Stegostoma tigrinum: one gene and its partners. The protein of the gene in region 3 interacts with the protein of the main gene of each other region in a pairwise test. Links are inferred from orthologs where the notes say so. Each region holds a gene or a part of one and is shown on either strand. Other genes may lie near its edges. The genes, in order: centromere protein F-like, cep170aa, nuclear distribution protein nudE-like 1 and girdin-like.

Region 1 (7,361 bases), on a different chromosome or scaffold from region 3:
TTCACTTCATCATATCTCTTCTCAGTCTTCTCTGCTTCAAGGAAAAGAAGCCTCGTCTTTTCTACGGGAATTGTTGCTAGCTCAACACTGACTCATTCCCAACACTACCTCACTTCCTATGCATTTTTTGCATTCTCCTTTTACATCATCCAAGGCACCAAAAACATTGGTGTCCTCTCCAACAAGGACAGGCAAAAATAGACTGTTTCGAAGAAGGGTCACTGAACTCAAAAGTTAATTGTGCGTTCTCACCACAGATGCTGCCAGACCTGACTACCAGCAAGTTGCTTTTGTTTCAGATCTTGAGCAACAGTAATTTTTGTTTTATAGGCTGGGTGAACCTTTGTGGAATACTTACATTCAGTGCTCATAAAAGACTGGGCTTTACATCATTTGAATTCTCTACTCCGGCATTTACGTCCGTGGCTTGCTGCAGTATTGCAATACAAGCTCAAGCAAGAACACTTTTCATTTTGGTAGCATATAACCTCTCGTACCAATCTTTTCAATGCTACAATCAGTTCTGAAGATGGGTCACTGGACCTGAAACATCACCTCTTGCTTTCTGTCCACAGATGTGGCCAGACTTGCAACTTTCCTAGCAATTTCTGATTTCGTTTCCAGGATTACCACCATCTACAGTTACTTTCCCCCCCCCCCCTTCTTCTGTATTAAATAATGAGTACTCAACCTTACATCGTAAGTATTTCTAATCAGTGACACACACATCTAGGAGTTGAGACTTGATGCTGGGTCTTCAAAAATCCAGAAAGACACGAACACTGCACCATAGGAGCCAACTTCTGCCCCTAGCTTGCTCTGAGATAATCTTCTGTTTTATTTTTATAAGTCCGTAAGACTTGGAGCAAAAACTAGGCCATTCAACCAATAGAGTCTGCTCTGCCATTCAATCATGGCAGATAAGTTCCTTGACCCCATTCTGCTGCTTTCTCCCTGTAGCCCTTGATAATCAAGAGCTTATCTATCTCAGTCTTAAATGTACTCAATGACCTGACCTCCACAGCCTTCTGTGGCAGAGAATTCCATAGATTCACCACGCTCTGGCTGAAGAAGTTTCTCCTTATCTCCATTCTAAAAGCCTCCCTTTGTTCTAAGGCTGTGCCCGCAGGTCCTAGACTCTCTCCAATGGGAGCATCTTCCCAACATCCATTTTGTCCAGGCCATTCAGTATTCTGAAAGTTTCAATTAGATTCCCCCTTCATCCTTCTAAACTCCAATCAGTATCATCCCAGAGTCCTCAAACATTCCTCACACGTTAAGGTCCCCAATCCTGGGACCATTCTCAGGAACCTCCTCTGAACCCACTCCAGGGCCAGTACGTACTTCCTGAGATGTGAGGCCCAAAACTTCACACAATACTCCTAAAGTGGCCTGACGAGAGCCTTATAAGGCCTCAGTAGTACATCCCTGCTTTTATATTCAAGTCTTCTTAAAATAAATGCCAACATTGCAATTGCCTTCTTGACTATGACTACTAACCTGCAAGTTTATCTTGAGAGAATTTGCTAGCTTATTTCTCTTTTTATCCTTTCAGTTTGCATTTAGGTAGGCACTATGCAACCTTTCAGGCTTCACCCGCACACATCTGATTCCTTCCTTATCAGAATTCTCTTTTGAAATTTCTATCACAATCAATTTTATTAGTAAGTCTCTCCAGTCTCCCAGACTATTGCAGTCTAATCCTAATGTTCCTGGTACACCAAATTTCTCCATTACTAGTATAAAAATCTTGCATTTCTATTTTCCTCCTAAAAGGTTAACACTTTCTCCGCAGACATTGTTTGACAGGTTGAATACTTCCAGCATTTCAGATTTTATTTCACGATTTACTGGATCCACTGTTAAGTATTTTTCTTTTGTATCAGCCGTTTTAATTGGTTTATACTTTTATCATACATCTCAAATTGTACCCATTGCAAAGACTTACAACTGGGTTCGCCCAGTAATCCTAGGCTCGCTTACTAATGGAGCTGCCTTGCAATAGGTTCGCTTAGTAATGGGACATACTAAATAAGAGCAAAAATCATTTGGTTTCTCCAGCTTGCTCAGTCAGTCTATCGTATCATGTCGATCTACTGTTTTACAAATTCCACGTTCGCATTTAACCCGATAAGGCTCGAGGCCCCCACGACCTAAGAATATCCACGCGGTCTTAACAATATCCAATAACCCACATCCCACCCTATCCAAGGCAGAGTTACAGTCGTACAACCCTCCGGAAATTGGGGGGGGGGGGGGGGCGCCGCGGGGGAAAGAACCCTCATCGCTCTCTTGAAAGGATCACCCCGATTTTAAAACTGTGACCCCTCGTTCTTACGGGAACGACAAGAGGAAATATCCTTTCGACGTCCGCCTAGTCAAGACCATTTAGGATCATGCATACTTCAGCCAAGTCACTCCTTAGTCCAGGGTAAATAAACCCAGTTTGTCCAACTTATCCTCATAAGATAACCCTCCCATTCCAGTCACAGGAATCCTTCTTCGGAACCCCGCCCGACGCATTTACATCCTCCCTTAAGTAAAGGGATCTAAAACTGGGACGTGTCTTTTACATCCTGTAGTCTACACTGGTTCATTCACTAATCTTGCTGTCTTGGAACGGGGTTACACTCTTACTACCCTCGCAACTGAACACTTAACGCTACTTCCAAGTGCTCAGTATTGTTTTGTTTAAACGACTTTGCATACACCGCCTGATCTCTGATTCGGCATATAGCAAGGACTAACTTAAATGGAGCGATCACGAAACGACAGTTGCGATGCGAAAATCCCCGGCTCCCAGTTTTCCGACCGACCTCTAAAAGCGTTAACTAAAGGCAGCAAGCGTTTCACGCCCCTTGCTCGCAAACCGACAATAACACGAAGACATCGCCGAAATGAAAACATCAAACCACACACCAGAACCAGTAGCACTTTCAGCACCAACAGCCCGATTTCAAACTGCTGCGGGCTTACCAACAGCTTCCACGAGCCAACGGCGCAGCGGCCTGGCTATAGAGCTGTCCTATTGGTTAGAAAGCGGGAACACCCCCTTAGCCCCGCCTCTGATAGGCTAACTCTGACGGCGACGAGCCACGGTTACAAGGTATGATTGGTTTTAAATTTAAACACGAGACCCTCTGTCTATTGGCTGACTCTCCGCAGCCGTTGGACTTGTCCCCGTGACCCGGCCTCCTGATTGGTCAGTCAGCCCAGTGCCGGCGGAGAAATGGATTCCTGAGCTAGAACTAAGGGCTTTACCTGCAGCCGAGGTACATTCCAAACTTATGATGTCATTTCCAACTGAAGATGCCGGGAAGAGAAGCATAAATACTTAAGTTCAAGGAATAGAAAGGCTACAGCTTTCATCAAAAGTGGGTATGATGACACGAGAATGGGCCTTTTCAATTTCTTATAAAAACAGAAAGAGCTGGAGAAATTCAACAGTTCTTATCTGACAACATCTATGGATATCGATATAACTGTTCTTCAGATCTGCTGAGTTTCTCCACCATTTTCAGTTTCTTTTTCAGATTTCCAGCAGCCAGCATTTTGTTTTTATCTGGGAATTTTCAATTCTGCCCCATGCATCTGCCTTTGTGTTGGCATCACACATTAGCATCCCGATTTTGCCAAAATGATTGAATCTGGATCAGTGTGTAACAATGATGAAATAAACTTTTTTTTGTTATTGATGAACAGTTTTTGGCCAAGCTGAGCTTTCTTGCTGTCTTAAAAAAAATGCTTTCTGCTCTCCGAATTCTCTACTCGAATTGTTCCAATCTTCCATCAATTATGTAATGTTGAACTTCAGGCAAGGATATAGGATTTATGTTGCTACATGACAAATTTTAGGAACAATTTTACTAATTTGTATTTTATTACCTGGTGGGCAGGAACAAGGATGTGCTTTTTACAGCTGGTTGGAGATGCCTGTCAATTCCATCACTTTGTTGTGGCAAACTGACGTCTTATTCTCAATCAGTGGGGTGTTCAAAACACTTAACCTTTAATAATTCTTAAAACAAGAATCTTTGAATAACATTTTTGGTTGTTCATCAGTGTGTCATTTATCAAAAGATAGATATTGGCAACTGCCAGGATCCAGGGTGCTCAAATATAACCAGTTAAAATGTCGCAGATTATCGACACCAACTAAGATGAATACAGCCTTGGAATGCTGGGTGAGAGTGGGAGACTGACTGCAAAGAATTCCAACAATTAGTGACAGGCCTACCTTCTAGGTGTACCATTAGTAAGATAGCCTGGGATTGTTATTGCCCAGAATACAGCAAACCTGCCTGGCGTGGGTATGGTTATTCATTTTGTGACAGAGGTTTAAATTGGTATCATTCTCTAATCACAAAAGTGTGAGTCAGTAGCTGTTTTGAACAAGATGGAATCTAAAAATCTCTGGATCGCGCAGCTTGCATTCACCAGAAACTGAACTGGGCTATCTACATAAATAATGTGGCTGTAAGAGCAGGTCAGAGGCTAGGAATTAGATGGCAAGCAACTCACCTCCGCCGTTGCTCATCCTACATATCCAATTCACCAATCAGAGATGTAATGGAATATTTTCCACTTACTTGGATAGATGAATTCCAACAACATTCAAGAAGCTTGACATCACTCAGGACAAATTAGCCCACTTTACGAGCATCCCATCTACCACTTCAACATCCTTTCCCTTCACGACTGATGCACAGTCGTACAATGGGTACCATCTAAAATATGCACTCCAGCTAATCACCCAAATAAGGACACACATCTCCTGACTGCCAGTTCTAATCCAAAGAAACAATTTTTTTCATTACTTTCCTTTTTATTTTCATTTATGGGATAGAAGCTTCACTGGCCAGGCCAGTATTGCTTATGAGTAAATTGTAGTGTGCTTCCATCTTGAACCTTTGCAAAGCATGTGAGTGGGTACACCCACAGTGCAAGATGGCCCAACAACAATGAAGAAATTATGATATGCTTCCATTGCAGAATGATGTGTGGCTTAGAAGAGAATTTGCAGTTAGCATTGTTGTCACATTTTTGATGTTGTTGTAGCTCTAAGTGGTAGAGATCACAGGTTTCAAAGATGCTTTTGAAAAGATCTTAGGTGACTAAGCTACAAGATGCAGAGATTTTTAGATTCCATCCTATTCAAAATGTTCATTGACTCAGACTTTTGTGATGCAAATGGTACTTGGATGTTGTCCATGTCTTGTCGCATTTGAAAATGTTCTGCTTCACTATCTGACGTATGGTATCGAACATAGGGCAACCATCAGCAAATATCTGACTGAATTTTTGATGGGGGTAAGGTGGCTGATGAAGCAGTGGACAATCTTGGGGCCTAAAATAATACCTTTATATTGTTTTGGGACTGAGATAATGGACCTCCGATAAATACAACCATATTCCTTTGTGCTAGGTCTGACTCACTCCAGCATGTATTTTTTTTTCATTTGATTTGCTTTTGACTTCAGTTTTGCAAGGGCTCCTTGAAGTCATACCCGGTCAAATGCTGCCTTGATGATAAGGGTAGTCATTCTCACCTCAACCCTAGAGTTCAGCTCTTTTGTCAATGTTTGGACATCAATCCTGGTCCATCCACATCGATGCTACAGACAAGAAAGCACATCAATGCCTGTACTTCCTAGAAGAGTAAGGAAACTCAGTATAACCACAATGACTCTTCAATTTTTATAGGTGCACCATAGAAAGTATCCAATCCGAGGCATCACAGCTTGGTGTGGCAACTGCTCTGCCTGAGACCACTAGAAATTACAAAGATGTGAACACAATCCAGTCAATCACAAAAAACAGCCTTCCTTTGACTGACACTTCCTGCTCAGGAAAGCAACCAGCATACCACCCCAGTTATACTCTCTCCCATGGGGCAGAAGACTCACAAGTTTGAAAACACATACCAACAGATTCAAGAACAGCTTCCCCACTTTTATCAGATTTATGAATGGATCTGTTATATATTAGAGTTGACCTTTCTCTCCACCTTCTCTGTAGCTGTAACGCTACATTCTGCATTCTGTTCTACAACCCTATGTACTTATGTAAGATACAGTTTGTCCGGTTAGCACTCAAAACAGTACTTTTCACCGTACTTCAGTACATGTGACAATTATAAATCAAATCAAATCAAGGCTGTGATGATGTCAGCTGTTGGTTAAACCCAAACTGAGCATCAACTGGCAGGCTGTTCCTTTAAAAAGTGCTGCTACTTGATTGCACTATCAATGACCACTTACATTGCTTTGCTGATGATCGAGAATCATCTCAGACACAGAATGATGGAGAAACTTAGCTGTTCTGGCAGTATCTGAGTAGAAGTGAAACAAAGTTACCATACCATATGGTATGACTTCTTCAGAACATCTAAAGACTTTTCTTTTGAAAAACATTCATACCAGACTTGAAACATTAACTCTGTTTCCCTGGCCATAGATAATGCTACATCTGCTGAGTTTCTCCAGTATTCTCTGATTGTTTCAGGTTTCCAGCATCCGCACGATTTTATTTCTATTCTAGTAACATAGCTGTAATTGACTAGGTTACATTTATACAGCTTTTTGTAGAAAGAACATACCAGGACAATTTTCCACATTGCCAAATAAATAAGTGGTTGTATCTGGAGGGGAACAGCTTGGCTGTGGGTGGGGCTACTTCTGGAATACAAATTGTCAGTCCCAATATAATCGAAGCCTATAGCCTTTGCATTGCCTTTAAACTCTTTTTTGATATCTTGTGGGATGAATTAAATTGTCTGAAGACAGGCACTTGTAGGACTGGGGACCTCAGGAGGGTAGATCATCATTGAGATTGGACTGTTTGTGGAGCCTCCTATTCCTCTTCATTGTTTCATTGTTCACGATCATTCATGCCAGGATGTAGCAGAACTGCAGGGCTTAGATCTGATCGGTTGGTTTTGGGACTGCTTATCTCTGTCTATTGCATGGTCCTCTGCAGTTTGGCATGTGATGTGGCTTCACCAGGCTACCACCTCATTTTTAGGTATATCTGATGTTACAGAGAAGTGGAAAGCCAGACTCCTCTGATAAATAGAAACACAACCCCCAATCTGTTGTGGCGGGGCATAGAGGTTCACTTCTAATAATTAAACCCGAAACACACAAAGTCTCTCGCCTCACCTTTATAATTTATTGAAAGAATGGTTAAATGAAAGAAAATCCCTGATATACACTTTATTAGTAACAACTTATTTAACACTAACAGTGAACAAATTAACAGACTTACTAATAAACCAAACAATTCCACCCCAGACTACTAACTACTCCCTAACTGGCCTAAATTCTACTGGAATACTTTTCAAATAAACACAAGTCCTATTT
Region 2 (7,928 bases), on a different chromosome or scaffold from region 3:
CACCACCAAGCACTCTCTCTCTTTCCTGTATTCTGTCTCATCATTGTTTGAGATCTAGTCTACAATGGTGGCGTCTTCAGCAAACATGTAGATGGAGATAAGAGTAAATTTGGTGACACATTCATGAGTGTACAGGGAGTACAGTAAGGGGCTGAGCACACAGTCTTGTTGGGCGCTGGTGTTGAGGATTGTCATGGAGGTGGCGCTGTTATCTATCCTCACTGATTACACACTGTGGGTCAGGAGTTCAGGATACTGTTGCAGAGGGTGGAGCAGAGACCAAGGTCTCAGGGTTGAGATTAATTTGGTTAGAATTATAGTGTTGAAGGAGAATTGTAGACAATAAGTAGAAGCCTGACATAGGTATCCTTGTTATCTAAATATTCCAAGGATGAATGCAGGGCCATGGAGATGCTGTGTACCATCTGTTGAGACTGTAGGTGAATCGCAATGGGTCAAGGCAGGCTGAGAGGCTGGAGCTGACATGAGCCATGACTAACCTCTTGAAGTGCTTTGTAATTATGGAGGTCAGAGCCACCACGTGGTAGTCATTTAGGCATGTTAAATGAGTCTTTTTTGGTGCTGGAATGATAGTGATCTTCTTGATACAAGTGGGGACTTCAGATTGTAGTAAGGAGAGATGAAAGATGTCAGTGAACACTCTAGGCAGCTGGACTGCACAGGATCTGAGTGCGTGGACTACTCCATCTGGGCCAGTCATTTTCTGTGGGTTCACTCTCCAAAAGGCCAATGTGAAATCTGCAGCATAACTGATGAAACAGGTGCAGCTGAGGCTGTTGGATTAGGTGACACCGTTTTGCTGAGGCTCTGTTTCAACTGAGCCTAAAATGTATTGAGCACATCAGGGAGAAATGTATTTTGTCCATTATTCTGTTATGTCACGTAGGCCTTACCAGAAACTACAGGTACCCATGTGGTTAGTTTTGCTCTCCAACATAGTCTAGTATTAGTTCTTGGCATCTCCAGTGGCCTTACAGAGGTCAAATCTGGATTTCCTGTGAAGATCAGGGCCGTCTGACTTGAACATTACATACTTGGTCTTTATTAGGCAATGGAGTTCCTGGTTCACCCATGGTTTCTGGTTGGGGAATATATGGATTAACTTCTTTGGCATACAGTCCTCTACACCCTTGCTAATGAAGTCCATGACAGTAGCAGCATACTCTCCTGGGGGCATGGCTGCTGAGTTCTTGAATATGGGCCAGGCCACCAATTCCAAGCAGTCCCACAGAAGCTCTTCCGTTGCATCGGACCAACACTGTGCTATTTTCTGTACTGGGTCCTTATGTTTCAACTTCTGCTTAAAAGCCAGGAGGTAGGACACAGTGTTGCGATCTGATTTTCCAAAGTGCAGACAGGGTATAGAGCAGTAAGCACTTTTGATGGCTGTGTCGCAATGGTCACGGATATTTGGCCCCCTGGTGGGGCAGAAAACAGGTTGATGGTATTTTGGTAGCACCTGCAATGTTGGCCTCATTAAAGTCACTGACTACGACTGAATTGGGCCTCGGGGTATTCCGTGGGTAACAAGGTGGGTAAATGGAGTTGAGGTGATTAGCAGAAAACATTGAGGAGTTGAACGGCTTACTACTGTTACTTTTTCACAGCACCAAATTTTAACAATAAAAAAATGCAATTCACCAAGGCTGGACAGCACTGAGCAGTCTAGCAATGCAGAACAGTGATAGAGGGCTAGTTGAAAAGGTACAGCCAGGAGGTGGCAGCTGAGTTAGTTCTCCACATGTGTATTTGGAGAAAAGATGGTGGGAGCAGGGCCAGGAGTTTTTGAAGATAGAAGGGCAGTAATAGAACTAAGGGCAGAGGAGATGCAATAACACCTGATGTGGTCCAGGTCTGCATTCACTGGATGTTAGAAGAATGACACTGGACTTGATTGAAACATAGGGGGCTTGACAGCATAGATGCTGTGAAGTTGTTGCTCCTTGTGGGAGAGCCTAGGACCAGAGGGCATAATCCCATGGTAAGGGAGTATCCATTTAAAACAAAGCCAAGGAGAAATTTCTTCTTTCAGATTTTTTTTTTAAAAAGCTAATTCACTGGTTTGCTATGATGAGGAGGTGCTGGTGTTGGACTGGATGGACAAAGTCAGAAGTCACATGACACCAGGTTATAGTCCAACATGTTTATTTGAAATTAAGTCTCTTCACCTGACAAAGGAACAATTCTTTGAAAACTTGGAGATTTCAAGTAAACCCGTTGGACTATAACCTAATATTCTGACTTCTGACTTTATTTGTACCATAGACAGCCGTAGCTTGTTACGTATGTTCAAGGCAAGAAATAGATCATAATTAGTAATTCATAATCAATACTTTTGGGGACAAGGCAAGCAAGTAGAACTGAAGACTATCAAATCAGCTACTTTTCCCACCAAATAATAAAGCATGATCGATGGATTGAAAGGCTAACCTTTGCGCCTACATCTTATGGTTTTAGTGGTCTAGGTTTGGATGAGAAAACCTGTTGTGTTATGCATGAAGGACCATAAAGCAGATGAACAATTTTTTTTGGTATACGTCTAATTTCCTTCTGAAAATTACAATTGAATCTTTTTATTCTGCCTTCATGTTTAACTATAAGTCATATGACATGGGACCAGAACTAGGCCATTCAGCTCATCAAGTCTGCTCTGCCATTCATGGTTGAGATGTAATCTGCTATAACCTGGAATGAACTGAGACGAGGAGGAATTTCTTCAGCCAAAGGGTGGCTAATCTGTGGAAGTTATTGCTGCAGCAGGTCAAGTTATACAGAGTATTTAAGACAAAGATAGATTGGTTCTTGATTGATGTGGAGATCAAAGGTTATGGGAGAAGACAGGAGAATGGTGTTGAGGAACATCTCAGTCATGACTGAATGGCAGATAAGAACTAGTGGGCTGAATGGCCGAATTCTGCTCCTCCATTTTATAGCTTATAATTAAACATGAAAGCAGAACAAATGCAGATTCAATTGTAACTTTCAGAAGAAAATTGGATGTATACCAAAAAAACTGTACAAGAACAGAATGAATTACACAAACATAGTAGACTGCATGATCCATGTCTGCACTGTATTTACCTTTCACCCTTAGGAAACAGGTATTAGTCCACATTGGGAGATGAACTAAGTTATGGAATACCAATGGTTTTACTCAGGTATCAGCATGAATACTGAGCTGCGGTTAAAGAAATTGTGGATATGTAAGCATTATAGTGAATGGGAAGCCAAGGGCGAGACAACTGGAATGGAGAAAATGTAGTTGTGAGCAACATAGGGTGCATGTTTCTTTTCCGCCCCAGGAGCAGATACGTAAATAATTGGAATTGAAAAAGCAAATAGAAGGAGTTGAGGCTGAGCAATGAGGGACAGGAGAGGCCATCAACAATGGCAAAATCAAAATGGGAGTTGTAAGTGAGAGTGGGATTGCATTCTGGACAGGACATTCCTGAGCTAGCAAAGTCGTGTGATGATCAGCTCGTTCCGGTATCACATTAATATAAACTGTTTTAAGTTCATACATTTTCAAAATGTATATCTTTATTTTCGTAACTCCATTACCACTGTAGATTCGCCCAATGGCTCAAATGAAATCAAGTCGACAAACGTTTCACTGCAAATGACAATCTGTTATCGTTGCATGGCGAATCTCAGGAGTACTGAACGTGATTCACAAATCAGTATAGAAAGATTTTCAGAAAAAAGGGTCCCAACCCGAAACGTCAGCTTTCCTGCTCCTCTGATGCTGCCTGGCCTGCTGTGTTCCTCCAACTCCACGCTTTTGTTATATCAGACTCCAGCAGCGGCAGTTCCTACAATCACGAGTCTTTGTTTTTTTTTAATATTCGTATTTTGTAGACAGAAAGGAGGGCAAAACAGTTGTTCCTCATAACTGCAGTGCTTTTAATTTAAGCACTCTTCAAAATCCACATGCCAGTATATTTCTCATCGGAGTCCATGGGGCGTTTGCCCCCCAAACAACATGTAATTTCAGCAGTTCCAGAAAATTCACCAAACTTTCATCTCTACACAGTTAACAATTTGATGCAATGTGAGTACACAGGAGCTGTTTTTTCGAAGGTACAACTTATCAACAAATACAGATGTTACAACAAGCCTTGGAGACCAACCTCGGCCTTGCTTATCCGTGCCTTTAACTGACAGCTGTCTCCTATAAACAAGCCTGCCCCTTCGATTCGGTCGTTCGCTTACCTCTTAAACCTTTCAGATACGTCTCTAAATCGTTCTCGATGTTCGACTCGCAGGAGGCCTTCATGTTGTCCGATCATACAGCGAAAGGTTAGAAGTACCTCTCGATTAAAAAAAACAACGTTGACAGCAAAACAGAAAGGTTGATAATTGGAAACGCTCCGCACGGCTTTGGTTAAACTCCAGCGCCGCTGAAAGGACGCTGCCCCTGAACCAATCAGCACCGAATTCAAATTAAACTTTGGGCTTCCTTTCACCATAGAGACATCAGGTTCAGCGAAGGAGGAGTCTCCGCAGCGAATGCTGGGGTTTGTATTTCTACTTGAGAGTCAATGCTGTCGGCAGGAACGGAGCATTGGACGGTCGACAGGATAGGTGCCGAAGGCCAAAGGAAATACAATTCCCAGAAACGCTTGCGGGAGAATCCGGGTACCTGCCTTTATTTCTTCCCGCCCTTCCTTTCATTCCAGAGATCTACACTTTCGATCCCACCCTGTGAAAGCCCCCGACAGCCGCGGTTGGCGCGGTGACGGCATGCTTGCGGTTGCGATTGGTCAAGAACTCCGTCAATCATGAGGGGGTGTTGGCTTCGCCGAGATGGAGCCTCAGGCTTTTGGACAGTGGCTATGGCATGTGGTGCTCTGCGCATGCTTCAAACAATCTCTTCCCCCCCCCACCCAGCGCCTACCCGTCTATTCTGCTCGAGCGGCCGCTATGTGGAATAACGTTATTGCTGAGCAACGGGCGGGTTGCTGATGTTTGTCTGAGCTTCGGCAGGGCAGTTGCCCTGCTAGGGTGAGTATGCTATACGGAAATGCTGAGGTGATAAAGGCTACCGGTTTATGCGCTCCCGCCTTGGAGGAGGGGAGGATCGATTTTAGTATTTTGAAGTTGAAATGGAATAACGGTTCAAGGGATTGTGTATAAAATGCTGCTGGGTGGGGGAGGGGCGTCTCGTAGAAGTGACCATCCCGCAATCGCCACCTGACAGGTCGCGGTCCGTGGACTTTTTCATGGGCTACTTCTTTCAAGCTATTATTTTGGATTGTCGACATTCCCACCGTTTTTCATTTGAAACGAGTGGCAGCTGAAAACGAGAAGGCGTTTGGAGGTTCAAATGGCTATCCATTTTCTTTTATTCATTTGGCTCCTCTTTCACCCTTTACTAATATCCCCTTTCCTCCTCCTCCCCTCCCAACTGTGCTCCTCGTTCCTTACTGTAAACTATTCATACTATCTTCCGAATTTAGTCTAAACGGCATGCCGAGATTTAATGTTCTTTTGCATTTCACTCCTCCCCTTAATTTAATGGATTTTAATCAAGATTTCTTTTAAGTGAAACGCTTTCTAATTAACATGTCAGTGGATCCGAATGAGTAGTACCCAACCGGTGAACGATCATGTCGATGCATTTTTTCATGTTTCTTTTTGTTACCTCGAACAAAGGAAGCTTTGGGGTACACCACGGAATTTCATCCGAAGGTCTGCATCTTTTTTTTTGTCGATCGTTCGAGATATTCAATACCCGTAGAAATTCCCTTGTTTTCGGTGAAGCCGACGCGTCTTAATGATTTAACCAATTCCGCTCTGATTGTTACACAAAATCCAGTAATGCAAAAGTAGCATAGCTGGATAGGGACTATTAGCAAATTTCTGGCACACTGCCAGTGTAGTGAGGGCATTGCAAATCTTGTGGAACAGACTAGCCATCACTTCTCGTTTTGAAACGTAATGATTAGATTGTATTACATTATTGGCCTTCCTGCATTAGAAGCCCAGTAAATTCATTTATAAAATTCTTCAGAAACGTTTCACAGGAAATGTTTCCTGTTCCTGTACATTCCCGCTAAGGGAATAGGGTCACATGAAACTGGCTGGAGTGTTTCCTTTTCGGCTTTCATTTCAGCAATGTGTTCCTTTCCTCTGTGCTTTATATCGACAGACTTTTCAAGTAGGTTGAGTCCCATTCGTTTCTGTAAGACGTGTATTTTAGTATTTTTGACAGTGAAACAATGCGTTATTTTGTGGCCCTTTCAAAGGACGGAGCAAGAAGGAAACCTTTATTTTACTAATCATAAAATGGAAGTTGCCGTGCTGGAACTTTTCAGTGTTGTTTTTTTTGTGATAAATCTTAACTTGGAACATTATTAGATTTCTTTCTGCAGCATAAGTAAGACAGACCATGGAAACTGAAAACTATATGGTCTCATCTGTATATGTATCAAAAAGCTGTACAGGACCACAAATAGCCTGAACTGTAATAGACTAATCAGTTGAGGACAATCAACTGAGTCTTAAGTAAAAATTTGTCCAGTTTGAATTTTGTGAATCTGGAAGTCTAGCAGAACTAGTAAATTCTAAATTAAAATACTTCATTCTGTTTTTATCTGTAACTTAAAGATGTTCCCAAATTAATCGTACCATTGATTGAAATGTGATTTTATCAGTTAGATACTTGCCTAGCCTCCTTTTGTAACCTATGGAATCCGCCTCCACCACTCTCTCCAAGTAGCACATTCCAAATTCTAATAACTGAATAAAGAAGTTTTTCCTTGCTTCAGTCCTAGCTCTCTTGCTGGCAATCTTGAAATTTTGACCCCTATTAACTGAACTTTTGCATTGTAGACTAAAGTTTATGATAATTATCAGAGATAATGGGAACTGCAGATGCTGGGGAATCCGAGATAACCGTGTGGAGCTGGATGAACACAGCCGGCCAAGCAGCTGCTTGGCCGGCTGTGTTCATTATTTGTGATAATTATCCTTCTTTCTAGCTCAATCTTTTTTTGCTTTTTGTACTTTTAATACTTTTAACAGATTCTTAGTTAAACTGAAAACTGTTTCTTCTATTCCCCTTTTTATAAGCATGATTTTCCAATATGTTTCAATTTTTAATTTGAAAATGAAAGAAAACAGGAAAGTGCTACACAGAATGGCTAGAATCAGTGGAAAGAATGAGAAACAAGACAATTTACTGTAACCTTTGCACCAGCAGTCCTTGGTTGACTGTCTTTCAGGAGTGACATTTAAACATTAGTGCATCTGCTTGTTCAGGTGGATATAAAAGATCCCATGACATCTTTTCAGAGAAGAGGAGTTATCCCTGATGCTTTCCAGCCAGTGTTTATCTGTTCGTAACCAAAACAACTTCTTCAGCCATTATCATGTTTGTGGGAGCTTGTATGTGAATTGGTTGATGGGTTTTCAACCTTTACAATATGACTGTACTTCAGAAATACTTGATTGACTCCGATAGTGGTATTATTGATTAAACTGTTAATCCAGAGGTCCAGATAATGTTCTGGGGACCTGGGTTCGAATCCAGCCATGGTGGAATTTGAATTCAATAAAAAGAATTATCTGGAATTAAGAGTCTAATGATGACCATGCATCCATTGTTGATTGTTGGAAAAACCCATTTGGTTCACTAACGTCCTACAGGGAAGGAAAATGCCATCCTTACCTAGTCTGGCCTGCATATGACTTCAGACCCATGGCAATGTGGTTCACTGTTAAACTGCCCTCTGGGAATTAGGGGTGCTGCCTAACCAGCAGCGCCCTTGTCCCATGAATGAATAAAGGGGAAAAAAATTGCAAGATGTTTTTTGACTGGGTTCGAGTTGTTTAGGTTTAAGAGGGACGGAAGTTTGGATAAACTGAAACTTACAAAGAGCACAGGATTGGACATCCATAGGGAG
Region 3 (7,220 bases):
ACTCTGGGTGGGGGATTTCAATGCCCACCACCAAGAGTGGCTTGGCAGCTGCACAACTGGTTGAGTCTTAAAGTACACAGCTGCTACAGTGGGTGTGTGGCAGGTGGTATGGGAACCAAGAAGAAGGAAAAATATACTTGACCTCATCCTTACTAATCTGCCAGCTGAAGATGCTTCTGTCCATGGCAGTATCAGTCAGAGTGACCACCGCACAGTCCTTGAGGAGACAAGATACTATCCTACCTTCATGTTGAGAATATCATGTTAATCACATTGTCACCGTGCTACATGGGACAGACTTTGAACAGATCTAGCGACCCAAGACTGGGCATCCATGAACTACCGAGAGCCATCAACAGCAGCAGAATTATAGTCCAGCACAATCTGTAATTTCATGGTCAGGCATACCCCCTTTCAACCATTACCATCAAACCAGGGGATCAATCCTGTACAATGGAGAGTGCAGGAGGGCATGCCAGGAGCAACACCAGTGATACTTAAAAATGAGGTGTCAACTTAATGAAGGCACCATACAGGATTACATGTATGCCAAACTGCATAAGCAGCGAGTGATAAACAGAGCTAAGCAATCCCACAACCAACAGATCAGTTCTAAGCTCTGCAGTCCTGCCACATCTAGTCACGAATGGAGGAGGAGGCTCTAAAATAGCTCAATTTTCAATGATGAAAGTGCCCAGCACATAAGGACAAAAGATATAAGGTTAAAACATTCACAGCAATCTTCAGCCAAAAGTATCAAGTGGATGACCTAGGAGCCCTAACAAAACTGGAATCTGTGGGTATTGAGAGCAAACTTTGTGTATTCGAGTCATGCCCAGCTCACAAGAAGATGGTTGTGATTGCTAGTCATCTCAACTCCAGGACATCTCTGCAAGAGTTCCTCAGAGTGGTGTCCTAGGTTCAAACAACTTAAGCTGCCTCATGGAAGCATAGAATCCCTAAAGTGTGGAAGCAAGCCATTCAGCCCATCAAGTCCACACCAATCCTCCAAAGAACATCCCACCCAGGCTCATTCCCTATCCCATCCCTGCATTTCCTACCCTAGACAATATGGACAATTTAGCATGGCCAATCCACCTAACCTGCATATCTTTGAACCGTGAGAGGAAACCAGAGCATCTGGAGGAAGCCCACACTGACACAGGAGAATGTGCCAACTCCACACAGCTGGTTGCACAAGGCTGGAATCAAACCTGCATCCCTGGTGCTGTGAGGCATCAGTGCTAACCACTGAGCCACTGTGCCACCAATGACCTTTCCTTTGTCAAAAGTTCAGAACTAGGGATGTTCGCTGATGATTGCACAATGTTCAGCACTGTTTGCAACTCCTCAGATACTGAAGCAGTCCATCTTCAAATGCAACAAGTTCTGACAATATCCAGGCTTGTGCTGACAAGTGGCAAGTAGCATTTGCACCACACAAATGCCGGGCAATGACTGTCACGAATAGAGACAATTTGCTCTGTAGCAGCAGTGTGTACTATCTACAAGTTGCACTGTTGAAATTGACCAAAGATCCTTAGGCAGCACCTTTCAAGCCCATGACCACACCAGGTGCATTGGAATACCACTATCTGCAAGTTCTCCTTGAAGCCACTCATCATCCTGACTAAGAAATATATCGCCTCTCCTTCTGTGTTGCTGTGTCAAAATTCTGGAATTCCCTCCCTGATGGCATCATGTGTCTATTTACAGCATGTGGACTGCAGCAATCCAAGAAGGCAGATGACCAACACTTTCTCAAAGGCAACTTGAGATGGGCAAAAAATGCAGAGTAGCCAGCAATGGCCACATTCTACGAGCAAATAAAACAAAAGATGCTGCCATGTTTTACTGTCATCATGACGAGCAACTTCCCGGCACAGTCTTTTTTATGAGATGAAGAGTAGTGAGAAATATCATCGTAAAGGTTCAATTATTTCAATAAATTATCAAAAATATTATCATAAATGTCTTAAAACAGAATTCAAAATTGCAGTTCAGGAATCTGGGGATTTTAAATACGTTGGATTGGAAATCAGGCAGAATGGATCAAATGTCATTTTGCATCAGTAATCTTATTTGTAAAATGTTAGCTGCATTGCCATTTTTCAAAGTAGGGCCTCACAGAAAGATACAGTGGCTTTAAAGTTGAAATGGAGAAACTGAGAAGTTTAATTGAACAGCTAAATTGGTTGGGCACCCAAGTGAGGCCAGCTGCCAGTTTCAAAGTCAAGTGGAATTACGAAAAAACCCAAAGCGCAAGATATTATTTAGGTGAGCAAAGCGTTGAAAAAGAATTAATATGGAGCATTGTGTTTTGATGTTTTCCTCACAGAGAGGTACCAGAAATATGAAGGTGCCAGGTTAATAATCAATAAAAACTGTCAATAAACATATTACAAGTAACTTTCCTTCTATACCTGCCCACATATTGTAGCTTCTCAAGCTCGACAAAGGAAGAACTGTTGCAAAAAACTATGTTGTCATTTTGCAAATAAGACATGTTGAAGACATCCTCAAAAGCTACAATGTAATGGGTGGGGAACTGCATGCATATCATGCGTCAAAGTAACACTTTAAAATACAAATTACAAGATTGAGCTCCCATTGTTCTGTTTAAATTCTTAAAGGTGCAGGGAATGTTCAAAATAGGCAGATACTGAATTGGCTAGTACTCATTTTACAGCAAACTCCATTTTCATTCCCAGAAAACGTGTGCTGGCATTTGCTCCCAGAAAACAACATCTCAAATAAATTCTATGTTAATGTGCAGTGAGGATAGAATACAGCAGCACACTGAAGCTGCAGAAACACTACCTTTCACAACTTGCATTCACCATCCCCTAGCCCAGACTTACCTTTGGCCCTTTGTCAGTGTCCCAGGTTGTCCTTGTTGATCCCTGTCCATTGGTCAGGCGCAATCACATTTCTCGTCTGTTATCCTCAGTGGTGTTCCAATGGCATTTTACCTGCTCAAATGGTAATTCTTTTATCTTTATAATCTTGAGTAAGAACTTGAATGCAAACATAAAAAAAACATACTTTCTCAAATTTGGAGCCATCGCCTACTCCTATAAAGCAAGTCTCAGTTACTTGTTGTTAAGCAGGTTTTTCCCACCTAATGAACAACATTCTTTGCAGCATCTGACTGAACATTCCAGTTACTGTGTAACCACATTTTGTGACGTGCATGGTTCCAGACAATTACTTTCTGTGCCAAAAAAGAATGTGGGTTCAGGACTGTAGCCTTCATCCATATTGCCAGGTGTCACTGTGTTAGTAAATATCTGTGCAGTCGATCAAGTGAAGTTTGAATTCCTAGTTGTAATATTTCTCATAATTATCTAGATTTCCTTTCAGTCATATTGCCACTACTTAGATGATAACCAACTTTGGAACAGTCCTCTTTCAAAAGCTGTTTACCCATAAACTTGGAATCAATTTCTACTTCCTTTACATTCCTGTACATGGTACAAACTGGTAATTCAATCCGATAGGACTGATCCATCTTAACAGTTCCTAAAGTCACCCTTCCTTCCTGCTGATTTCTTTTTATGTCCTACAAGTAAGTCTTTCTATATTTAATGCCTCCATTATTTCTTACAATGATTATAGATTGTTTTATAAAGACATATTTCAGAATTATGTTGTGTTCTGTCCAGTAGTCAAAGGAATTGCCCATAACTTTTGTTTTCATTTGACATGCCTACCCCTTATGATTGACCATCTGCAGCACAGAAAGGGCAAGAAGATCAGGAAAACACCTGCTAGTTGTTTCTAGGTCTGAATTGATTTGATTTGGTTTGATTTATTATTGTTTTTAGTACCTAGGTACAGTGTTTCACATGCAGTACAGGCAGATCATAACATACAAAGAATCACAGGGTGTTTGAACAGAGAGAGGTAAACAAGGTTACAGCTGCAAAGACAGTGCACGAAAAACAAGATCAAGGTCAGATTTGAAATTTGAGAGGTCCATTCAGAAGTCTAATAACAGTAGGGAAGATGCTGTTCTTGAATCTATTGGTATGTGTGTTTAAGCTTCTGAGTCTTCTGCCTGACAGAAGAGGTTGGAAGAGGTTATGACTGGGTTGGGAGGGGTCTTTGATGATGTTGGCTTCCATTCTGAGGCAGCAGGAAGTCCAGATGGAGTTAATGGGTAGAAGACAAAAACCAAGAGACTGCAGATGCTGTAAATCAGGAGCAAAAATCAGAAGTTGCTGGAAAAGCTGAGGAAGTTTGGCAGCATCTGTGAAGAAAAAAATCAGAGTTAATGTTCAACGGACCCAAAACATTAACTCTGTTTTCTCCTTCACAGATGCTGCCAGACCTGCTGAGATTTGAAGAAAATGATGAGTCATTCTTCATATCATGTGACATAGTAGCAAAATAAATGTCATGGTTGAAGTAAAACTGGACACTGCCCATACTGAGCAGGTTGGCAGGTACAGCTCATGAGATTTATGCATCATTGTCAGAAGTTTTGATTATGAAGTAGTTAAAAAATGTTATTCTGGGTGTATATGTGTTAGTTCCTGAAGCTGCAGACATAAGTTTAAAAATTTAAGGAAACAGCCTGTGGAAACTTACACTGGATTTGAAAAGGCAATGTAAAATAATTTTGACAAGTGGATACAAGCATTAGGAGTGAATACCATCCATGAAGCTCCCAGAGAAATTATTTTCTTAGAAGAGCTCAAAACTTACCACCTTTAGTCATTAGAACCTGCTTTCAAGAAAATTTCAACATCTCTTTGTTGGTCTAGTTTTTAAATATTGACAGTCCCATTTTCCTTTCAACTTGTTTTAGTCCTTTTTCATGTACAAGCTGTCTCAGCTGCAATTGAATTCTCACTAAACCGAGTGACTCATCACTTGATGTACCCAGTACTTCTTGTATTTCTACCTGTGCTAAATGCAGTATCAATATGTTAATTATGTCTCCTAAGCTTTTACTGGAAATTCCACTTTTAGTTTGTTTGCAACAACTAATGCTGTTGCCTTAGGTTAAGACTTGTTAAATCAGTCAAGGTTGCACCATCTATCTGCAGAATGGTTTTAGTTGCTTCCAATACTATTGTTTTATAGTATGCATGGAGCAATGAGACAGACGGCAGAAATGGCTGATAATTACAAGTTGATCAATGAAACCAAACCTTTTTTTTGTCATCTTTATAAAACCCCAAATGGTAGAAAGTGGGACAATGAAAGGAAGGCAAGTAACTAGGCTAAAGAAGGGACATCTGGGAATTCCCTCGTGAATTCTTTCACGAACTGGAACCGAAGGTGCTGAAATGAGAGTTGTTGGCATAAGTATTCCCATTGTAACAAAGTGGAACACCTTTGCTCAGAATGCTGCAAGTTGCATGGGAAGTCCACAGGACATTAGGATTCATAAGAGTGAGTCTGACAGAGGAACTCAGAAGGAAAACACTTAAATCAAAGCATAGCTTTAACTATAACTAGGAGAATGCTTTGAGTGCTGGAGAAGTGATTAAGATAGGTGAGAGTTAAGAAGGATTTTTTTGTTAAAAGGAAAGATCACCTAGTTTTCTTCAAACAGTACATCTAAGGTCGTAACTATATTACAGGACACAGGAGCTGTACAAACACTTTTTTTCCAGACAAGAACATAGCTCCATCCCAAAGAATGCATAGAAAGCCAAATGTTTAATAGACAGAGATAATGGGAACTGCAGATGCTGGAGAATCCAAGACAACAAAATGTGAGGCTGGATGAACACAGCAGGCCAAGCAGCATCTCAGGAGCACAAAAGCTGACGTTTCGGGCCTAGACCTTTCATCTTAATAGACAGGATCAGTGGAAAGTACATGCGCATTCCTTTGTTCAGTGTGCACTTAGAATGTAACTTATTGCTCGGTGCAGTAGTCATGGGAATTGTTCTAAAATTACCTCTGGATGGAGTTCATTTACTGGGTAATTATTTGACTTAAGTGAAAGTTATAGTTTTGCCTATAATCACAGAAAGTCTAATTGACAGAGCAGTTACAGGTAGAAGCTCCAGGTATTTTTCCATTGAACTTGATGACCAGAACAATGGTTGAACAAAGTTCATCACCAGACGAACTGGTGATTCGTCTGGTCACAAGCAAATGTTAGAGTAGCCAAAACATTCTTTAAAGAAAGAGGCAATTCAAAAAGTGTTTAGTATGTCAGGCTCAGATAGCAGATCTGGAGGTAGGCACAGTTAAACTAATTTAACTCAATTAGCATACTCTGAAGCTGAGGATAAAGGAGTTTCAAAGTTACTTTTGTTAAAAATGTAGTTCTGATGAGTAAATGGAAACATCCTCACAGACCTGCTGACAAGGATGGATGGTTGAACATCAAATAGTGACACCACCCAGATTTAGTAAGGAAATATTGCGAGTAGCTCATAAAATTCCTATGGCAATGCATGTAGGCACACGGAAAACTCAAGCTTTGACGACAGTTACTTTACTTGGTCATGATGTTGTGAAGACATAGTACCGTTCTGTAAAGCATATGAAAATTAGGTTGTAGGAAGACTTCAATAAGACTTCAATATGTAATCAGATCAGTACCTTTAATACCCAGGCAAGTTTTTGAAGAACCAATAGAATGTTAGAAGACCGTGCAGGACTATTACCAAAACCAAACATGGGGGACCAGTATTTCCTTATAGATATGCATGTGATAATTCAACTCCTAGGAGCTATTTCTTTTAGAATGTTTACTTCTAGGGGAATAACAGAAAAATCAACTGTTTCAAAACTCATTAGAGGCTAATTAAAGGAATACAGTTTAATCAAAGTTTCAAACTTTGGTTCAATTTTTTTCAGGACATAATAAGTAATTTAGTTATGAAATATTCCACTGCATTGGAGGTGGCTCATTGGTCTATGTTTATGATTTTTGCTTAGAGTATTGTATTTTGTTGACATGCGAGAGGTCTCAGGTTCAAGCCCACATTTCCAGGTGGCCTGTTGGCTCAGTGGTTAGCACTGCTGCTTCACAGCATCAAGAGCTGGGGTTCAATTCCACCCTTGGGCAACTGTCTGTGTGGAGTTTACATGTTCTACCCCAGTGTGCATGTGCCGGCTCTGGTTTCCTCCCACAGTCAAAAGATGCGCAGACTAGGTGGATTGGCCATGCTAAATCGCCCATAGTGTTCAGGGATGTGTAGAGTAGGGGGATAGTTCTGGGTGGGATGCTCTGAGGGTCAGTGTGGACT
Region 4 (7,425 bases), on a different chromosome or scaffold from region 3:
ATCTTCAGTTAGTCATTCTTTCAAACTATCAATACTTTACAAAATTATGCTACAGAATACAGGTACATGTTTTGACATATCAAGTGTAGTTCTAAGTTACTCATTTAATCTCCATTCCGGATTGATATTCACACTGTTTAGAATTATCGGCATATTGTCCAATCCTTTTTTGTGTACCTCTGCAACCTCCTTTAAATGCATCTATTCCATACATTGCAACCAAGTGTTAACAAGTCCCATGTTTTAACTATTCTCTGTCAGAGCGACAAAGCGTGAAAACAGATCTTTTGGTCAACCTTTGGTGCATGCCAAGCAAATCTCCCAAACTGAACTAGAATCATAGAATCCCTACAGTGTGGAAACAGGCCATTCAGCCCAACAAGTCCACGCTGCCTCTCCGAACAGCATCCCATCCTGACTCATTCTCCTACCCGTGTATTTCCCCATCAAACCCACCTAAACTGCACATCTCTGGACTGTGGAAGGAAACCAGAGGAAACCCACACAGACATGGGAAGAATGTGTAAACTCTACACAGACAGTTGCTCCACGGTGGAATCAAACCCGGGTCCCTGGTGCTGTGAAGCAGTGGTGCAAACCACTGAGCCACCATGCCACCCTAGTCCCACTTGCGTATGTTTGGCAAATCTCTCAACTTTTCCTAATCATGTGCCTATCCAAAAGTCTTGTAAAATGTTGCAAGTGTACCTGCAGCTACCACTTCCTCTGGCAGTTCATTCCACATACAAACCACTCTCAGTGTGAAAACATTGCCCAAGGTCCTGCTAAATTATTCAATAGAATAAATTACTATATTTAGATCAATTCTAATTCATTTTAAAAATAATTCAGAGCCTGTTTCAACTGCCTTAAGAAATTGTACATTCTTAGCAACTTCGATGGTTTTTTTTAAAAAATGATTTAATGTCACTTGCAATCTCCATATGATTTTTTTTAATATATTCAGTCACAGGTTGTGGACATCACTGGCTGGACCAGCATTTTATTGCCCATCACTAATTCACCCACAGGGCAGTCAAGAGCCAACCCACATTGCCATGGGTCTGGAGTCACATGTTGACCAGACCAGCTAAGAGTGGTAGATAATAAAGTGTAGAGCTGGATGAACACAGCAGGCCAAGCAGCAGAAAAGCTGATGTTTTGGGCCTAGACCCTTCTTGAAACGTCAGCTTTTCTGCTCCTAAGATGCTGCTTGGCCTGCTGTGATCATCCAGTTCTACACATCTCAGATTCTCCAGCATCTGCAGTTCCTATTATCTCTCAGCTAAGAATGGTAAGAACGTTAGTGCTGACAGTCGACAACGAATTCATGGCTATCATTAAACTCTTATCTCCACGTACTGAATTCAAATTCCAATATGTGCCATTGTGAAGTTCGAACCCAGGACCAAGATATTACTTGGGTCTCTAGATTAATAACCTAGCTATAAATATCACTAGGTCATCACATCCCCCAATAATACAGCAGGAGTTTAACCTATACAGTTAAGTAGGCACATAAAATAAATGGGAATTTTTAAATGGGGTTAAGCAATCTACCCGTATTTTCTGATGAAATGCGCCAAATTAGTGCATCACAGTCGACTGAAAAAACTTTGAACGTGAAAAAGCTTAAAAATTCCGAAGTCCAACTGCATACTGCAAATAACATCAGTCACACTACAAGTGGATTCAGGAGACCAGAACATGTTTATAATTATAGTATATTGCAAATAAATAAGCCGTAGGCTGGAGAAACGGTTAGTTTCCATTAAAGAAAATCCCAGAATCTTAGCGTTATTATTAATCCTAATTGTGAGTTCGATAAAATGCTCCGGCAGCTTGATCCGATTTTGTTACCTGTATACATACTATTCGAAATCAGAGAGAATACGAATGGGAGGCATGGAAACAGTACAAAAAAAAGAGGCAGAACTAGATCTTGGCCCGTAGGGAATATCTTTCCACTGAAAGGTAATTCACCAATTCTCGACGGAATATCGGTCTCATCGAGAGGATTCAGGGCAATTGGATGTGTAAATCTTTCAAAATCTCACATGCATTTTAAAATACAAAATAAATGCAAAGACGTTTAATTTTTCCCCACAAGACGAGTCTGTAGGTCTACTCTTACAATAAGCATACTTACATTTGAACCATGATGTTACTGAGGAAGATGCCATCAACCAACTCCATGTATTCCAAAAGTGCTCCTCCATTTGCTGGAGCTAACGCCCCGAAAGTCTTCACCTAAAGGGGTGGAGATTAACATTTTTTTAAAAAAATACTCAGTGTAAACGTATTTACTATTTGTAACTGCCACTTTCGATTGCAATTACTGATTTAAGAGATCTGAAAGAAAGTCCAAAAGTGCTTACCCAAGTTACCAAAGGATCAGACATAAACTGCTCAAGGAGCGTTGTAAAATCGGTCTCCATTTTCAAAAAAACCAAAAAAAATCAAAGGTTTATCTTAAACTGTAAAATCCACCGTTGTTGCCAGGAGCCGTATTCCCACTTTCAGCATCCTAAATGGAAGTGAAATCCAATCTCGAAGTATCCATAGTAAATCGAGGTGCTTAGATCTTGATCATTTGCAAAGCGACCAATACGTCACCAAGTTCATTTTCAGCACAAAATTTTGATTTTAATTACAGCGCCTACATCACTTTCGGAAAACCGCCTTCTTCCCGCAGCAGACTCGAATTCCTATGGAAAGCTCTCAGACCACAATCATCTTTCCTCTTGACAAATTAACACAAAACTCAATATTAGAAAAAAAATGAACACTCATTTCCCATCGACGCCGAATAATCGTCTACCTTTTGTTTTAAAGGAAAAGATTAAAGTTAGAGGGAAGATTGCAGTCTGAGGTTTCAGACATAAACGCCAACATTTCCAACGGCATTTCAAATATCACCACACACGTTTCCTCAATATACTGAGTTTTAGCACGAGCCGACTAACGGCTATGGAACATCAGTCAACGAAACCGCATCACCACCCAACACAAAGATCTCTTCACCCATACAACTATCGTTAAATCGAGATATAAAACCGCCACGCCCCGCCCAAAATGTATCGTTCCGCCGTCTTGTTCTGCAGGAGGCTTAGATGGAAAAAAATAAGTTCTCCATTCGTGAGCGTTTTGTAGATTAGGGAAAGATTGAGTGATGTTCGCCATTAATATAAAAGATCATTTGTATTGTACCCATTGATATATAGAAGAATGTTCGAATACTTATTAGTGATAAAAATGTTTTACTTTGTGCTCCATCGATTTAATTCGGTCATATGCTTGCGATTTTCAGAATTTGTATGTTATGCAACTGAGGTTTACTCGGATTTATAGTCATGTGAATGATATTTTTCGAGAAAAGGCTGCATTTAAAAGTTATACAGATCGAATATAATGCGTGCTCCATAAACAAAGAAGGATCAATAGTGACGCCTAACGGTGCGGAAAACGTAACATTACCACGGAAACTTTCCACGCGATAATTATTATGATATTCATATTAATAGACTTTCAAATATTTTATCAATTATAATCAGTTTAGTTGAATTAACTTAAGCACCCAGATTTGTGAAGACGAAGGAAGACATAAAAATAGGGAGAAGGGCAAGTCTTCTTTCCTTTAAAGCGGAAATACTAAACAAAACCGTTGGACAAAGCTTTTGTAATCAAGTTTATTAACCTATTACTCTAGGCGCCATTCCACCTTTCATAAATATGTGCAGATATAAGCGCAGATCTGTTGTAACGCAGCACATCATTAGCAGAAACACGTACCGGTGTGGAATTATAATACAATAAATAACAGTATATCATGTGATTGGAGACGAACCATTCTACACCTTTAAAGATATTGAACCAATTTATAATTATTTGCAACCGACTATCTCAGAAATTTTTCGAGAGCAAGTAAATATTTTCATGCTTCGTAAAGGTTTTAAAAATAATTATTTGCATTATTAAAACGTATTTTGCATAACAAAGAATTCACATGAAATTTACTGCTCAGAAACGGGCCATTCAACTCATTTACTTTACGGAAATGTTCATGTCTCAAGCAAACCTCCTCCTCACTTCAATCATCCCACCCTGTCAACATATATTTCAGTCCCTTTTCCCTCTTGCATTAATTTGGCCTTTAAATGTATCAATACTATTTGCCACAATCAAGCGTACCAAAGCTACAGAGAAATTACAGTACCGAAGGAGCATTTAGACAATCATGTCCTATAGAATAATACAAGGTCTACTTCCCCATGCTATCTCCACAGCCCTTCAGACTCCAGTGTCAATCTAATTTCCTTTCCAAATCATTGATCATCTCTGCTTCCACTATCCTTTTAAGCTCTAGGTCATCATCTCTTTCCCACATCCATACACAATACATGTGCTTTAAGGAAGAAAAATTTACATTCATGCAGTGCCTTTCACACAAATCATCTCAGAATGCTTCATAGGCAATAAATGACTTCACATTGGAATCACTTTTGTGCAGCTGCCAACTTGTACATAGCAAATTCCAAGAAACTGTATTTGGGTGGGAAAGGTATTCAATGTCTGTAGTCTACAGTACTGTTAACACCTCTTGATTTACACGGCATATACATTTATTGTAGTCTCAATGCACTGCCAGGTGACAAGGTTGGCTGAAGGGAAAGATTGGAACATCTTCTCCCATCACCCTCATGGCTGCTAAAGCACAAGTGAATTGCCAACTTGCCGAAAGGGATACTGGGTATAGGGAATGGTGGCAAAGTAAGGCTCTACAAATTGCAAACCCAGAAACCAGACACAATGCAAACACAGCAGCCAGGTACTAATGGCATTATTTTGACCTGAAACATTGACTTTCCTGATGCCCACCTTGAAGAAGATTTCCTCCTCCCTCCGAAGAGAGCTCAGTGAGTCCATCTCCCACTGCAACACTCTGGTTGTCTCCTCTGCCCTGATACTAAACAAAACCATTGGACAAATCTTTTGTAATCAAGTTTATTAACCAGTTCTATTACACGAGGTGCCATTCCACCTTTCATAAATATGTGCAGATATAAGCGCAGATCTGTTGTAACGCAGCACATCATTAGCAGAAACAAGTATGGGAGTGGAATTATAATACAATAAATAACAGTATATCATGTGACTGGAGACAAACCATTCTACGCCTTTTAAGATACACCTTTAAAGTTCTTCATCCACATTCTGAAGCATCCAGCTATCTCCATCTACCTAACCTTCCCACAGTCACACACCGCACCCCCATATATTTCCGGGCTCCCCCCATCCTTCCCAGCCGTATTAACAAAGGATTTCAACCTGAAACTCTAGCTTTCATGTTCCTCAGATGTTGTCTGACCTACTGTGCTTTTCCAGCTCCATATTCATTGACACACATCATCATCAGTTATCCTATGCAGTAAAATCCTCCCAAAATATCAACTAAACAAAGTGGCATGGTGAATCAGTGGTTAGCACTGCAGCCTCACAGTGCCAGGAGCACGGGTTCAATTCCCCCTCGGGCAAATGCCTGTGTGGACTTTGCACATTCTCCCCTTGTCTGCATGGCTTTCCTCCGGGTGCTCCAGTTTCCTCCCACAGTCCAAAGATGTGCCGGCTAGGTTGATTGTCCATAGTGTTCAGGGATGTGTAAATTAGGTGGGTTTGGTGAATGGGCCTGGGTGGGATGCTCTGAGGGTCAGTATAGACTTGATGGGGCAAAGGACCTGTTTCCACATTGCAGGGATTCTATGGAAAGCAGCAATGCATATTTTCAGATAAAAAGACACCTGCTACACAAAGAAACAAATATAAGCAAGCCACCCAAATGATTGACAATGTTTCAAACCATTAAGTAAGTCTCCTTGATTGATCAGAGCTATAGAAAGTTCCAGAAAACTGCCCAATAATGTTTAAAAACAGGTCTTACTTTCAAATCAATTTTAGACCATCTGGAGATGAAGAGGAAGTGACCGGCAAGCAAAGGCAAAAATCAACTGACCATTGGGAGTGACACTGAAAGAGAACAACACTTCGCAAACTAGATTAAAGTTACAAGAGATTCTGGCAAGTATTGTAACAACTAAGAGGATCAGGCAAGAGTAGGAATAGTATTGTTATAGAGTCATAGAGTTGAATAGCACAGAAACAGACCCTTTGGTCCAACTTGTCCATACTGACCAGATATCCTAAACAATCTAGTCCTGTTTGCCAGCATTGGGCCCATATCCCTCCAAACCCTTCCTAGCCATGTACCTATCCAAATGCCTTTTAAATGGTATAATTGTACTAGCCTACACCACTTCCTTTGGCAGCTCATTCCACACATGTACCACCCTCTTTGAGAAAAGGTTGCCCCTCAGGTCCCTTTTTTTATCTTTCCCCTCTCACTTAAGCCTATGCCCTCTAATTTTGGACTTCCCTACTTGGGAAAAAGTCCTTGGCTGTTCACCCTAACCATGCCCCTCATGATTTCATATACCTGTATAAGGTTATTGCCTCAGCGTCCAATGTTTCAGGGAGAATAGCCCCAGCCTATTCAGCCTCTCCCTACAGTGCAAACCTTCCACACCCAGCAAAATCCTTGTAAATCTTCTCTACACCCTTTCAAGTTTAACATTGTTTTTCTTGTAGTAGGGAGACCAGAATTGCACTCAGTATTCCAAAAGTCACCTAACCAATGTCCTGTACAGCAGCAACATGACCTCCCTAACTCCTATATTCAATGCACTGACCAATAAAGGCAAGTGTACCAAATACCTTCTTCACTACCCTGTCTACCTGTTATTTAACCTTCAAAGAACAATGAACCTGCACCCCAAGTTCTCTTTGTTTGGCACTACTCAGCTGAATCCTAACATTCAGTGTATAAATCCTTCCTGATTATCTAAGGTAAAATGCATCACTTCACATTTATCACAATTAAACACCAGCTGCCGGCCCTCAGCCCATCAGCCCATCTGATCAAGATTCCGCTGTACTCTGAGATAACCTTCTTCATTGTCCACTATACTACCAATTTTGGTTTCATCTGCAAATTTACTAACTATTCCTCCTATATTCACATACAAATCATTTTTATAAATAACAAAATTAGTGAATCCAGCACCAATCGTTGCAGCACACCACTGGTCACAGGCATATAGTCCGAAAAACCATCATATACTACCACACTCTTTTTCTGACCTTCAAGTCGATTTTGTATCCAAATGGCTAGTTATTCCTGGATTCTGTGTGATCTATCTTTGCTAACCAGTCTAACATAGATGCCAAGGTGAAGAGCTGGATGCACACATCAGGCCAAGCAGCATCAGAGAAGCAGGAAGGGTGATGGTTCGGGCCGAGACCCTTCTTCAGAAATTGGGGAGGGGAAGGATGTTCTGAAATAAATAGGGACAGAGCCGGAGGCGGATAGAA

What was found.
Region 1: the proteins of nuclear distribution protein nudE-like 1 (region 3) and centromere protein F-like interact in binary tests that used the Homo sapiens proteins (3 or more experiments, as listed by UniProt). The link is inferred for Stegostoma tigrinum from reciprocal best matches to the Homo sapiens genes NDEL1 and CENPF.
Region 2: the proteins of nuclear distribution protein nudE-like 1 (region 3) and cep170aa interact in a two-hybrid assay, tested with the Homo sapiens proteins (2 studies listed by BioGRID and IntAct). The link is inferred for Stegostoma tigrinum from reciprocal best matches to the Homo sapiens genes NDEL1 and CEP170.
Region 4: the proteins of nuclear distribution protein nudE-like 1 (region 3) and girdin-like interact in a two-hybrid assay, tested with the Homo sapiens proteins (2 studies listed by BioGRID and IntAct). The link is inferred for Stegostoma tigrinum from reciprocal best matches to the Homo sapiens genes NDEL1 and CCDC88A.

Annotation. Positions count from the first base shown.
Region 1 is NC_081362.1:57,085,390-57,092,750, reverse strand, and holds the start of centromere protein F-like, read right to left. Parts: upstream 3,003-7,361; 5' UTR 2,920-3,002; intron 2,917-2,919; exon of another isoform or gene 2,749-2,916; intron 1-2,748. UniProt on the Homo sapiens protein: Required for kinetochore function and chromosome segregation in mitosis. Required for kinetochore localization of dynein, LIS1, NDE1 and NDEL1.
Region 2 is NC_081362.1:83,728,933-83,736,860, reverse strand, and holds the start of cep170aa (centrosomal protein of 170 kDa), read left to right. Parts: upstream 1-4,908; 5' UTR 4,909-5,025; intron 5,026-5,322; exon of another isoform or gene 5,323-5,341; intron 5,342-7,928. Other genes in the region: sdccag8 (serologically defined colon cancer antigen 8 homolog), read right to left, coding at 4,234-4,297.
Region 3 is NC_081375.1:37,843,207-37,850,426, forward strand, and holds the start of nuclear distribution protein nudE-like 1, read right to left. Parts: upstream 3,010-7,220; 5' UTR 2,862-3,009; intron 1-2,861. UniProt on the Homo sapiens protein: Required for organization of the cellular microtubule array and microtubule anchoring at the centrosome. May regulate microtubule organization at least in part by targeting the microtubule severing protein KATNA1 to the centrosome.
Region 4 is NC_081362.1:46,459,255-46,466,679, reverse strand, and holds the start of girdin-like, read right to left. Parts: upstream 3,013-7,425; 5' UTR 2,439-3,012; coding exon 2,379-2,438; intron 2,251-2,378; coding exon 2,150-2,250; intron 1-2,149. UniProt on the Homo sapiens protein: Bifunctional modulator of guanine nucleotide-binding proteins (G proteins). Acts as a non-receptor guanine nucleotide exchange factor which binds to and activates guanine nucleotide-binding protein G(i) alpha subunits.